Alligator mississippiensis: one gene and its partners. The protein of the gene in region 3 purifies or fractionates together with the protein of the main gene of each other region. This does not show direct contact. Links are inferred from orthologs where the notes say so. Each region holds a gene or a part of one and is shown on either strand. Other genes may lie near its edges.

Region 1 (3,749 bases), on a different chromosome or scaffold from region 3:
GAGATAGGTACAAGATCTGATCATTTAGTCCAGTTGCATTCACTTATGGTTTTTTTTTTTAAATATGTATTATATCTGTTGTTGCTTTAATACTCCACGTGCAGAAATTCTGATGGGGAACAATGGGTTAAAAAGCAGAGTAAAAAACCCATAACACTGATATTAACTATCCCTTTCCAAAAAATGAATATTATTTTAAACATTCAGTTAAATGACTAACCCAGCCAAAAAAAAAAAGTTAAGATGGAGAGCATATCTGGAAAGATGAAAAAAACTAGATAAAACAACTATGTACGTTAGACTGAATGCAGTATTTATATATATTCTTATTTGTTGGGACATAATTCAAAATTGCTTGAGATTCAATCCTGGAAATTAATTAGGGTTTTAGTTAACTCTCGCATTTCGGTTGTTTGCACCATGTTTTCTCTTTCATAATTGTCTTTATTATGTAAAAGGAACAAAAACAAACAGTGAGAAAAGAAAAAGTAATTATGAAGTGGCTAACCCCCGTCGACAGACCATCAGGAGAGGCAGAGCCTAGAGTTTTGTCCTAGGAACAAGGACATATCCTAATCTCTCAGCACAATATTTCAATGGGAATTCAACACAAGACAGAATCTGGTCTCTAGAGTCAAGGCACAAAGTCGTTATTTGCTCTAATATTGAAAAAGGACACCCTGAGAACACTATGCCATGTAGTGCTGTAATAATTGTATTTTTACTCAATTTCTGCTTCTACTCAAAACCTGGACCAACTATGGACAACTGAGATAAAGGCAGGCATTTGACTGCCTAAGGGTTTCCATATTAGAGACAACTTGAATGGGAACACATTCAAGCAAATGGCTTATTTGGTCTATATTTTCCTTTATACCCTGGAGAGTTGTAAGAGTCAAAATCACTTGACATTTCCACACTAAGAAACCACACAGTACAATACACAAATAACTGCAATTGCCAGATTTAATATATTAAGTTGGACTTCCTTGACTGGAAAAGCCACAACTCTTCATTAAAAGTTAGATAAATCTACTTGCAATGCAATAGAACCCCCCCCCACCCCGCCTCCTTAAACTGAAAAGGCCTCTACAGATTTGAACTGTGAGAACTGCACATGCAACTTTGCCAGCAAAGCAAACCATGACACATCTAGCATTAATCTGTACAACCAGTAACTCCTGTAACTGGAAAGTAATCTTATTTAAATCATAGTAGCTTGTGTCTTATGCGCTACCAAAATACTGCAGTTGCTATGGCACCTCACTAGGACATGTGCAATCCAACGCTTTCTTACTCAAGTACACAACATAAACTGACAGACTTTGTTCCATGTCCTCTCACACTTGAGACTGTACCAAAGAATAGCAATTAAATAAAAGCCACAATGCTTCCTAGAGCAACTGCTTTAAATTACGAAGCCCAGAAGGAGGATACACCCTGCACTCATACCACCTCATACTACCTGACACCCCCCCTAGACCCGCTAGAATTAGTATTCTTAACAGAGACAATCCAACATCCACTTACAGAAAATACCAACAAGCTGCACATTTTTATTTATTTTTTAATTAAAGGTATAACCTCAGATTCCTAGGACTGATGGAAGAGTTGAACATTTGGAAAAATGTGCGACACCTTAACACAGCAGAGACAGGAAAGGCAGGGGCATTTTCCCTACTTCTGCCCATTAACCAAAGGTTGCTCATTTGCCTTATCAAAAAAAAAAAAAAAAAGGATGCAACTGCCAGAGGGCTGCATCCTTCCTGACACTTCTTGCAGCCTTTCAGTACCCAAACATATCCTGTCACCGTGAAGTTAAATGGTTCCTGTGACAACCCCCCACCCTTCTTCCAAAATAAGCGGGAGGATGCACAGAAGTACCATCCCGGCCTTGGTGTCAAACACGAATGCATGAACGTGCCTTCTCGGGGGCTTCGGGCCGACCTGCACCGGGGACATCCGCACTAGGGCAGCAGGAAAGCACCAACCCAGGCTGCCCACAGAGCCCCGAGCCGGGGCAGCCTCGCGGGAGCAAGTAACCCCGGCCAAGGCCTGCTCTGCCCGGCGGACTCGGCCCTGCAACGGGCAGAGGCCCGAGGAGCGGACCGTGGAGCCCCCCGCGGAGACGAGGCCGCCTGGCTTGGGGCGCGGCCCGGGCTCCGCAGGCCCTAGGTTACTCCCGCGGCTGCCAGGGCCGAGCCCCAGCCCGGCGGAGCCGCGGGGACCTCGCACCTGCGCCCGGGGAGGGGAGCGCGGAGCAGGTTTGGGCGCGCCCCGTCCTGAGGGGAGACGCGGCCGGGCCGGGCTGGGCCAGGCCGGCGGGGCGGGGCGGGGACACGCACCAGACCATGCCGTAGGCGCCCTCGCCGATGTAGGAGAGGTTGGTGTAGCGCGGCCCCACGTCGAAGGCCTGCCCGCGCACCATCTCGGGGCCGCCCGCATTGGCGGCGCCGCCCGCAGCCGCGGCCCCCGACACCGCCGCCATGTTGTCCGCGCCGGCAGCCGCTGCGGCGACCAAAACGCTGCTGCCGCGGTAACCGGCACTGCCCGGGCGGCTCGTGCGCTCCGAAAGACCGGACCTGGCCCGACCCGACCCCGTTCGCCGCCGCCGCCGCTGTGAGGAGAAGCCGAAGGCGCGCGCACGGGCGGGGCGGGGCGGGGGGCGGGGCCGGGGCGCGCGCGGAGGGGGCGGGGCCGAGGACACTGCGGTAACTTCACAGCCGCAGCGGCGGGTGGGTCACGTGACGGGCGGGGTCACGTGGCCGGGGTGGGGCGTGGTCTCGCCTGCCCAGCACGCTCCGCCTTCGCCTTCACCTCCCCCTGCCCAGGCGGGCACAACACGGCATGGCCCCCCGCCGGGGGGTGGTGTGCGGTGTGCGGGGGTGCCCTGGGCTGTGGTGTGATCCTGCAGGGCAGCGCGTTTCCAGACTCGCTTCCTAGGGGCCCGAGGTGTGGCAGCTCCTTCTAGCCGGTGCCTGGGCACCCTGGTCTGTCCGCCCTGCTTCTGCTCCTGCTCTTGCGGGCGGGGTGCGCGGCTGGGGCCGGGCTCACGGGATGGTGGCAGTGCGGGGCGGGGCCACGATCGGGGGCAGACTGTGGGGTGGGGCGCGGTGCTGACTCAGCCCGGGACAGCTCACCTAACTCCCGAAGTGGCCCTCGGGCCCCAGTACTTGCCCACCCCTGGACTGCAGGCTCATGCACTGCCTGCTGAGGCCCAGAACGAACGCGGCAGGAGGAGAGAGGATGCTCTCCTGTGTTAATGCGCCCGCCTGGGACCCAGAGACCTGGGTCGTGCTCCTGACCCTTCTGCAAACTCCCGGTATAATCCAGGGCAAGGTTCTGAGAACAGAAAAATCCTGCATCTGTGAGTGCAGATCAGATTAGAGGATCTCCCAGATCCTCGTGGGCCCAATGCTAATGGAAAGGAGCTGAATTATAGTTGCATAGCAACTCTGCTTCTGGCATCTCCCGAACTTCACAGCACTTGATTTGCAACCTTTAATTAGCATTGTCTTTGTATGCAATTATATTTTCTATTACTCGTTTTTCACATTATTTAAATATAAGCTTGTCTTCAGAACAAGAAGTATGTGAACATCACATTTATTATAATTTGTACCATCCTGTGATCATTGGTTGCAATAATGTCTATCTTACTGTTTTGCCTGTAAAGAAAATGGCCCTGATTTGATGTGGAAGTTTGCAGGGGCTGTGTACAATGGCCTTAGAGTTCTCTCAGTTTTTGC
Region 2 (3,749 bases), on a different chromosome or scaffold from region 3:
TGGGCAGTGAGCCAAAGATCCCTGTCAGATTCCATACAGCTTACAACCCTAAAGTGAATCAGGCCACACACCCTAAATATGCAATTTTTACTTAGGACAGAAACCCCCATTGATTGAATAGGTACTTAATATCAATTCCACAGTCAAAGAACATGCAGTCATAACATAATGCTGAGAATGAATATTATTTTTAGAGCTATACAATTCTCCATCACTAATGACTACATCAATGAATGGAGCTTTCTAAACACCACTCTTGGATGTTTGTTGGGTCTTTGCTAACATAAGTTCTTCCACATGGAATGGCATTATAAACAGAAGTAAGACATACTGGTAGCTCAGAAAGTAAATAAACAGTGACTTGAGAATAATATAAGTGTGCAAAATATCTTGCCATGACTGCTTTGCAAGATATGTGAAGAAGGCTCTTTAAGCTTTTAGAAAGAAAAGAGATGTTAGGAAATGAGGACCACTGCAAGCATGAAAACCTTAGTAGCATATATAATTTAAACAGGAATTCCAGAAAGTTTAGATATTTAGGAAAAAGTAGAGAACTAATCACTCAAGATGACAATCACCAAATGAAAAATCAGTAGCAATCTCCACATCTCCTCCCATGCCAATCATTTTTGACTGTGCTTTCTTCCCCAAATGAACCCCCCCCACCAAATCTCTCAAAGTAACCTGCAATGTTTAATTCATGCGTCATGGACAACGATAAGAACAAAACCTTTCCTAAAGACAAGCAAGAGATACTGAAGATGTATTTGCAGGTTATGGAAACACTGCTTTCGCTTAATACAGTAAAAATGTGAATCAATGCGATGAGAGGTCGTGAGCTCCGTGCAGCTTCACCACCGCAAACCCAAACCAGCCTAGCACCAAGGTGGGAGGCTTAGAAAGAAACTGAAATGGCAACTCTCACTAGTACAGCAAGATCACCTGCCTCAACACTGCCTGTTTTTTAAACACCTGATGTCCTCGCTCTTGTCAAGAGCCAAGGCAGACTCCTGTTCCCCAACTGCACTCCCAAGAGGGGCCTATCCTCTGCGACCTGCGGCTTGCAAAGGAGAAAGCAGCAAATCCTCCATTGCCACAAGGCGACTCCCAGCTGTGCTTGCAGACGGAGCCTCTCCCGAGGACGCATCAGAGCGGAGCCTGGCAGAGGTGGCAGCCTCCATGCGTGCCCCCGCCCCGGTCAGCCCCGCTCTCCCGGGCGATCCCGGAGGCAGCGGAGGAGGAAGCCGCCTCCGGCCCCCGGCGCCAGCCTGCCAGGAGCGCGGCTCCGCACGGCGCAGACACGAGCTTAGTCATTGCTCCGCCAGGAGCGGGCGCCCGGCTCTTACCTTCCGCCACGTCTTCGTCGATGGCCCCCTTCACCTGGGAGAAGCACCACTGGAAGTCGTTGCCGCCGCCGCCTCCTGCCACCCCTGCGGGGAGAGGAGAGGAGAGGAGGGCGCTGAAGGGGGAGTGCCCGGCCCGGCCCCGCCACCCCCGGCCCCTGCCCTAGGCCCGGGCCCCGGAGGCCGCGGCGTGCGCGCCCCTCACCTGCCATGTCGCGCGGTGCCCGTGGGGCGGGGGCAGGGGGCTGCGGGGCCCGCGAGGGGGAGGCGCCGGCCGGGGCCGGGTCAGAACCGCCGCCGCCGCACTCCGCTGCAGCCGCCAGAGGTTTCGGGGTTTCAAAATGGCGCCCATTGCCGGTCGGCCTGATCCGGTGACGTCATCCCGCGGCCTCCCCCGGGGAGGGCGGCGGAGCCGGGCAGGGCAGGGCAGGGCAGGGCCGGGCCGCCGCGGGGCTGGGCGGCGGGGGAGCAGCGGGCCCGGCCGCGCTGCGCGGAGGGGCCTCGCTCGAGGGCGGCGGAGCGCGGCCGGGTGGACGGGACGAGGGCGGCACCGCCAGGCCCGGGCCTCCGTCAGCGCGGGACGCGTCCCCTCACAGACCCGGCCCGGCCCGGCCCAGCCCCGCTGCGATGGCAGCACCCGGCGGAGGAGGAGACGGGACCCGCGTGGGCTCACTCCCGGCTCCCCCGGAGCAGGGCGGCCACCTCGCTGCGGGGCCGGACCCTGAAACCTGCGCGGGGAGCGCTCCCGTAAGGCGGCTCTGCGACGGGGACAGGCGCTGTCTGGGCTCTCGAGCACTGCAGCCCGTGTGGCCTTCAGGAAAAACACCTGCTTCCTCAACGTGCTTGCTCTGCGGGCATCGCCCTCGCGCAGACATGAAGTATTTGGACAGGGAGTTGAAGCCGGGTTGGCTGCTGTGCGGGCGGGGCTTTGAGGGTGCTGGGTTACGGCTACGTGATGGTTGTGGTAGACTAAAGGGCATTGGCGAGGCATAGGGGGTGCACGGGATTGCACGCGGGTGCACCCCTGCGAAAAGGCGCTGCCCACACCGCTGCCACCGTCCTGCTTCTCTCCAATTTTATGACTTAACCCAGGGGTGTTCAACCTTTTTAAATCTGAGTAACCCGGGGGCCAGACGCTGAGCGCGAGGGGCACGGTTGAACTTGGAGCAGGAGGCAGGGACGGTGCTTGGGGGGGGAGGGGGGATGAAGTGTTGCCGCCTCCCAGGAGCAGGACTGGGGCTGGGGTGAGGGCAGCAGCACCCCTCTATCCCTAAAATATATATCCTTAAACATATCCCTCACCTCTGTGGGGTGGGGAAGCTCACTGGGCTGGTGTTGTGGCCGCGTGCGAGCTTCCCCACTCTGCAGAGGGGTGCCACCAGCCTCACCCGCCCCAGCCCTGCAGCCCTCTGTCCCTGCCTGCCTGCATGTACCCCCTAGGACCAGTCCAGATACCCCCAGGGGTACACATACCCCTGGTTGACAACCCCTGATTTAACCTGGCTGACAGCCCACTGGTGTTGAGTAGAAAGCAGAGCAGATTTGTACCTTATAAGACTAACCAGAGTGTAATAGCGAGATAGTACAAGCTTTTGTGGGCTGAAGCTCACAAAATAAAATGCATGAGCTCTTACCATCTACTGAGCTGCAATGAGTCAGTCATCCCTTGATTGGAAGCAAAACCAGGATCTGTAACATGCCTTTACAAGTAAGTTATGGTAGGATATTGCCTCAACACATGCTCTATTAGCTAGCCAAACGGTGGAAATCATTTGAGTTCCCTACATTGTCTCTCTCGTGCTTTCATTCTGTTACACCTGTACTCTTCACTGGCTCTGCTCTCTCAATCTCTAAACATAAAAAGCAACTGCAAGGAAGTAGCAACAAGACATGCATATATAAAAACATTTCTTTTGTAATTCTAGTTCTCTGAGTGTTGTTTTTTTTTTTTTGTCTTGCATTCCAACCTCACCCACAAGCACCTTTATTGTACATTGCTATGCTTGTATATCAGGAATATATCTTATATATCTGGTTAGGTGACCTTGTATAGAACTAGTGGTCTGATCATGCAAATGCACGCCTGTTTACATTTACTAGTATGTGAAGTCCAGTTGCAATTAAGGGGATAGCTGACACTTTTATATTTTCATGATTGGCTCCAAATTGAAGTCCACATAATCTTCCCTACTGGATCCTTATGCAAAATTGAGATCTTACACTTGAGATCTAGAGGTGCAAACTTCTTGAGATGGGGCTGTAGATCTGAAAAGCACCATATATCCCTAAAATTCTGTAAATACAGCAACACTGTTGTGAGCAATCTGTTCCCTCTGATTTTCATCAGCAGTGATGACCAAATCCTGGGCCAGCTAAAGGATTGTAAGTAGGGCTGTGCAAAACTTT
Region 3 (3,749 bases):
AAACAACAATCCTGACAAAGTATAGAAATATCCCAGTATATGTGTATAATTTGTTTGAAATGGATTAGTTACACTTCAGAATAAGCTCACTAGGAAAGTTTTGAATGCCCCTGGAGTTAGTTGTTTCAGACTTTAGCTCAGCTGGAATGTAACAGGTATCACAAAACTGAATGATTCATACTAAAATTACTGAGCTATATATAGGAATAGTGTAACATTCTATTTTGGACATAATAGCATATCTTAACTTAATGGCTGTTTCCTAAGCAGATAACACTTCCCAACTCAGTGTAATGTGAGAGGGAAAAAGAAGACATACTGCCAATACAAAGAAATCAGTGTATTGAATTCTAATTGCAAAATATGAGTCATTTAAGTGTCTGAAATGTAGTTATATTCTATGTATGTCTTTACTCTCACTTTCTATTTAGCTTTTTTACCGGGCAGTTGAAGCAACATGGCTTCTCTAGTTTATACCCAACAACATGTCAGAGAGGGACCAATCCAAGACTCTGCTTACTAAGTTTCATTTTCTAATAGATCTGCTTTTGTGTAGTCCTCCTCATGTAACTTCTCTTGACTGAGAGAGCTCAGAGTCAGAATATCTGCAAGTATTGTCCTCAATAATTAATGAGGAACAGCAGCAGGAGTGAACTTACTTCCAGCTTCCATGAAAGCTTCAGGAAGGTAGGTGAAGCCACTCTCTTGCTCCAGTGGATTCCCGCAGCTAGCATGCTCCCCAGGACGCTGAAGGTTAATTACTGTTTTTATGCCACATCTTAAGGAAGGAACAAATGAGTCACATTATTATATGCACCTAAAATGTAATTATCCCTTATTTTCTGAAACATATTTATTCTTTCTGCAGAATAAATCCTTACCTGTGTATCTAAAATGAAAGGATCTTTACCAACAATCCAGATCTAAGTAGGAGGGAAAAATGGATCAGGGATACATCAGTGCTATTTATAGAAATTCATTACCAGTAAAGATCATTACCTTTCAAATTGCTCAATGATACTATATTTTTCAATGATTTCTGTTGAGGGACGAGCCATTGCCAATATGTTATCTGTTATCCTGAGAAAAGACATTCAGAACTTAGGAAAAATGATCTCATGGGTAATATTCTACCAAAATACAGACACTTTCCTTTTCAAGAAACTATCTCTAACTAGCAATGTGCTTTTATACCTTTCTCTAAAAAATCCCATCAAATTAGAATAATAAAAACACAGAATGGAAAATTGCTTTTTCATTATTAAAATAAAAAATATTATGGAAGATTAAATAATCTATTATGAACTCATTTTAAATATAGCTGTATTGACATTTCAGGAAGGAACATCTATGATCTAGAATATTTACATAATCTATAAATAGGTATTTTATTTTTGATCTGAGGCCAAACTCTTTGAACTTAATGGGAGGAATCCCTTTATGTGAGCCTTTATGGGCAACCAAACATTAACTGACATTTTATTGCAGTACATGGAGTATTTATCATGGCAGTATATATACTTAGTAGAAAATAGAATACAGGTCTGTGTTACTGTTATTTCATTATGTTTTATTTACTATAGATAATTTAAATAGAACTTATCATTGCATATTACCAAGAAGAGTAAAGCCCTTTAATGGCTTGCTCTTGGTCACTCCATCGAGCTGGATTTTCGTATTTACAAGCACGTCCACCACATGCCATTGAACACTGCATATGACCAGGAATTACATGGCGAAGGCGCTCCCCTACTTTAGTATATTTTGCAGTTGGGCGCATTGCACTTTCTACAACACATACAAAAAACAGAGTAAATAAGAAGGTTAACAAATGATAGTCACTATCCAAAACTTGAATCAGACCAACAACTTGATTAAATTGCAAAATGCACAAACATATGGACTGAATACTGAAGATCTTTTTTTCAATATAGACATAAAAAACCAGCAAAGATACGCAGTGAAATGAATGCTCTTTCCTTCTCTTGTTGTTGATGTAAGAAAAAAATTACATCAACGTGTCTTCTTTCTTGAGGAAATTATAGGCATGTGGCATTCATCACAACACCACAAATATCATGGTCATCTTTTACCTAAATATAGAAGTGCTTATTATGTCTTCACAAATCTCATAGCACTGTCTTATTTATTTGTTTTCTGTAACAAAGGTGTTAAACTGAAATGCTGTACAAATAAAAAATAAAACAGATTTCGTTCCTGAATAAAATACCAATTAAGGTAGTTTAGATATAATAAAACATTAACCATTATAAAAACTAGTAAAGTGTGTGTGTGTGTGTGTGCGTGCGCGCGCCTGCATGCATGTATTCACAGACCCCCCCCCATATGCCCTGTGTATCAAAACAACATTATATATATATATATATATATATATATATATATATATATATATATATATTAGCCTATTATAAAATGCAACCATGTTTTGTATTAAACAAAACTAAGTTAAAAATACTTTACTCTTTTTCTCAGGAAAAGTTGCATCCAGCTCTTCAGGGTTTAGGGATGAGATAGCCACCATAACCCTGTGTGTTGATGATGACAGTACCTCCACAACCGAGCTCCGGCGCCTTTGGATTATACGGAGAAGGGGATCGGAGCAAGAATGCCTCCGACCCTGAAAGAAGTTGCTAAAAATACTAACAGCTGAGCGCTGCCTGGGAGAGCCCTGCATGGCTGATTGCAATAGTTCACATATGCTGTAGAAGACTGAATGGATCTGAAATCCAACTTACTCAGCGCTGAAGTTACACAGAGATGTGCATCTTTCTGTATGATCTAACAGCTATTCAGGATAGGCTGAGCAGTTTCCATAGTAACAAACAATGAAGCCACTGATGCCAGCTACCCCTGTGGCAGCTAAATTCTATATGAATTGATTCTGTTTGGGACAAACTGTCCACAGCTGATGAAAATAGTTGCATTTCAAGTAGATAATTTTGGAAATTGATGGAAATGACCAAAATATTTTGCATAAATAAACAAAGAATTTGAGTGCATAGTAAATGCTGCATCTTTAAAATATATTAGTACATAGCATATGACATAGAAGTAAAGCAATCAAAGTGCAGTCTGGGGCCCTGCTCTCCTAGAAATCTGTAAGTAAATACACTGTACTCCCCCACTTCTCAGTTTGACATTCCACTACCTCCGCTTTCCCTCCACGCAGCAGCTCCAAAATGCATCATTAGTTTAGTAATGATTGAGATTAGTGTGTTCCTATTGAAATGGTTCAGTACATGATGAATTGTAGACTGCTCACTCTGGACCTTTCATATCCACTAACAAAACACAATTTGTTATTGAAAACAAGAGGTTTATTTTTTCAGAGCAAAGCTTTTGATTAACCAAAGCTTTTAGCTGTACTGGGCTGAGGTAAGGCAAAATATTGGGTGGAGCTGCCATCTCATTTTGAAGCTCTAGCTTTGAGGGCTATGCATTGGGCTATAAGTTGCTTCCTCACTTGCTTCCATGCTAAGAGGGTAATTAACTTAGCCAAAAAAAAGCAATTTTATCAAAAGCACAGGAACCGTTATGGGTTTTGCCCCTGCCTGGGGCAACGACTATAAAAATATTTAAGCAATATCATCATCTCATCAGCTGTATATTAAAGTGCATGTTATAGATACTAACAGGCAAGTGAAGAAAATCAGTATAGCACTGCCTAATGCATAGAGTTATTCCTGTTATCCTTTATTAGGGTCATGTATTGCCCTCAGGGCATATGA

Evidence for each region.
Region 1: the proteins of PTPDC1 (region 3) and MAPK1 purify together in Homo sapiens (affinity purification with mass spectrometry; 3 studies listed by BioGRID and IntAct, with this or other methods). This does not show direct contact. The link is inferred for Alligator mississippiensis from reciprocal best matches to the Homo sapiens genes PTPDC1 and MAPK1.
Region 2: the proteins of PTPDC1 (region 3) and PPP2R2D purify together in Homo sapiens (affinity purification with mass spectrometry; 5 studies listed by BioGRID and IntAct, counting the BioPlex papers as one, with this or other methods). This does not show direct contact. The link is inferred for Alligator mississippiensis from reciprocal best matches to the Homo sapiens genes PTPDC1 and PPP2R2D.

Annotation. Positions count from the first base shown.
Region 1 is NC_081833.1:15,153,763-15,157,511, forward strand, and holds the start of MAPK1 (mitogen-activated protein kinase 1), read right to left. Parts: upstream 2,657-3,749; 5' UTR 2,489-2,656; coding exon 2,346-2,488; intron 1-2,345. UniProt on the Homo sapiens protein: Serine/threonine kinase which acts as an essential component of the MAP kinase signal transduction pathway. MAPK1/ERK2 and MAPK3/ERK1 are the 2 MAPKs which play an important role in the MAPK/ERK cascade.
Region 2 is NC_081829.1:75,732,382-75,736,130, forward strand, and holds the start of PPP2R2D (serine/threonine-protein phosphatase 2A 55 kDa regulatory subunit B delta isoform), read right to left. Parts: upstream 2,234-3,749; 5' UTR 2,219-2,233; coding exon 2,170-2,218; intron 2,133-2,169; exon of another isoform or gene 1,556-2,132; coding exon of another isoform or gene 1,549-1,555; intron 1,431-1,548; coding exon 1,347-1,430; intron 1-1,346. UniProt on the Homo sapiens protein: Substrate-recognition subunit of protein phosphatase 2A (PP2A) that plays a key role in cell cycle by controlling mitosis entry and exit. Involved in chromosome clustering during late mitosis by mediating dephosphorylation of MKI67.
Region 3 is NC_081835.1:27,446,384-27,450,132, reverse strand, and holds the start of PTPDC1 (protein tyrosine phosphatase domain-containing protein 1), read right to left. Parts: upstream 2,799-3,749; 5' UTR 2,696-2,798; coding exon 2,482-2,695; intron 1,789-2,481; coding exon 1,617-1,788; intron 1,081-1,616; coding exon 1,000-1,080; intron 779-999; coding exon 660-778; intron 1-659. UniProt on the Homo sapiens protein: May play roles in cilia formation and/or maintenance.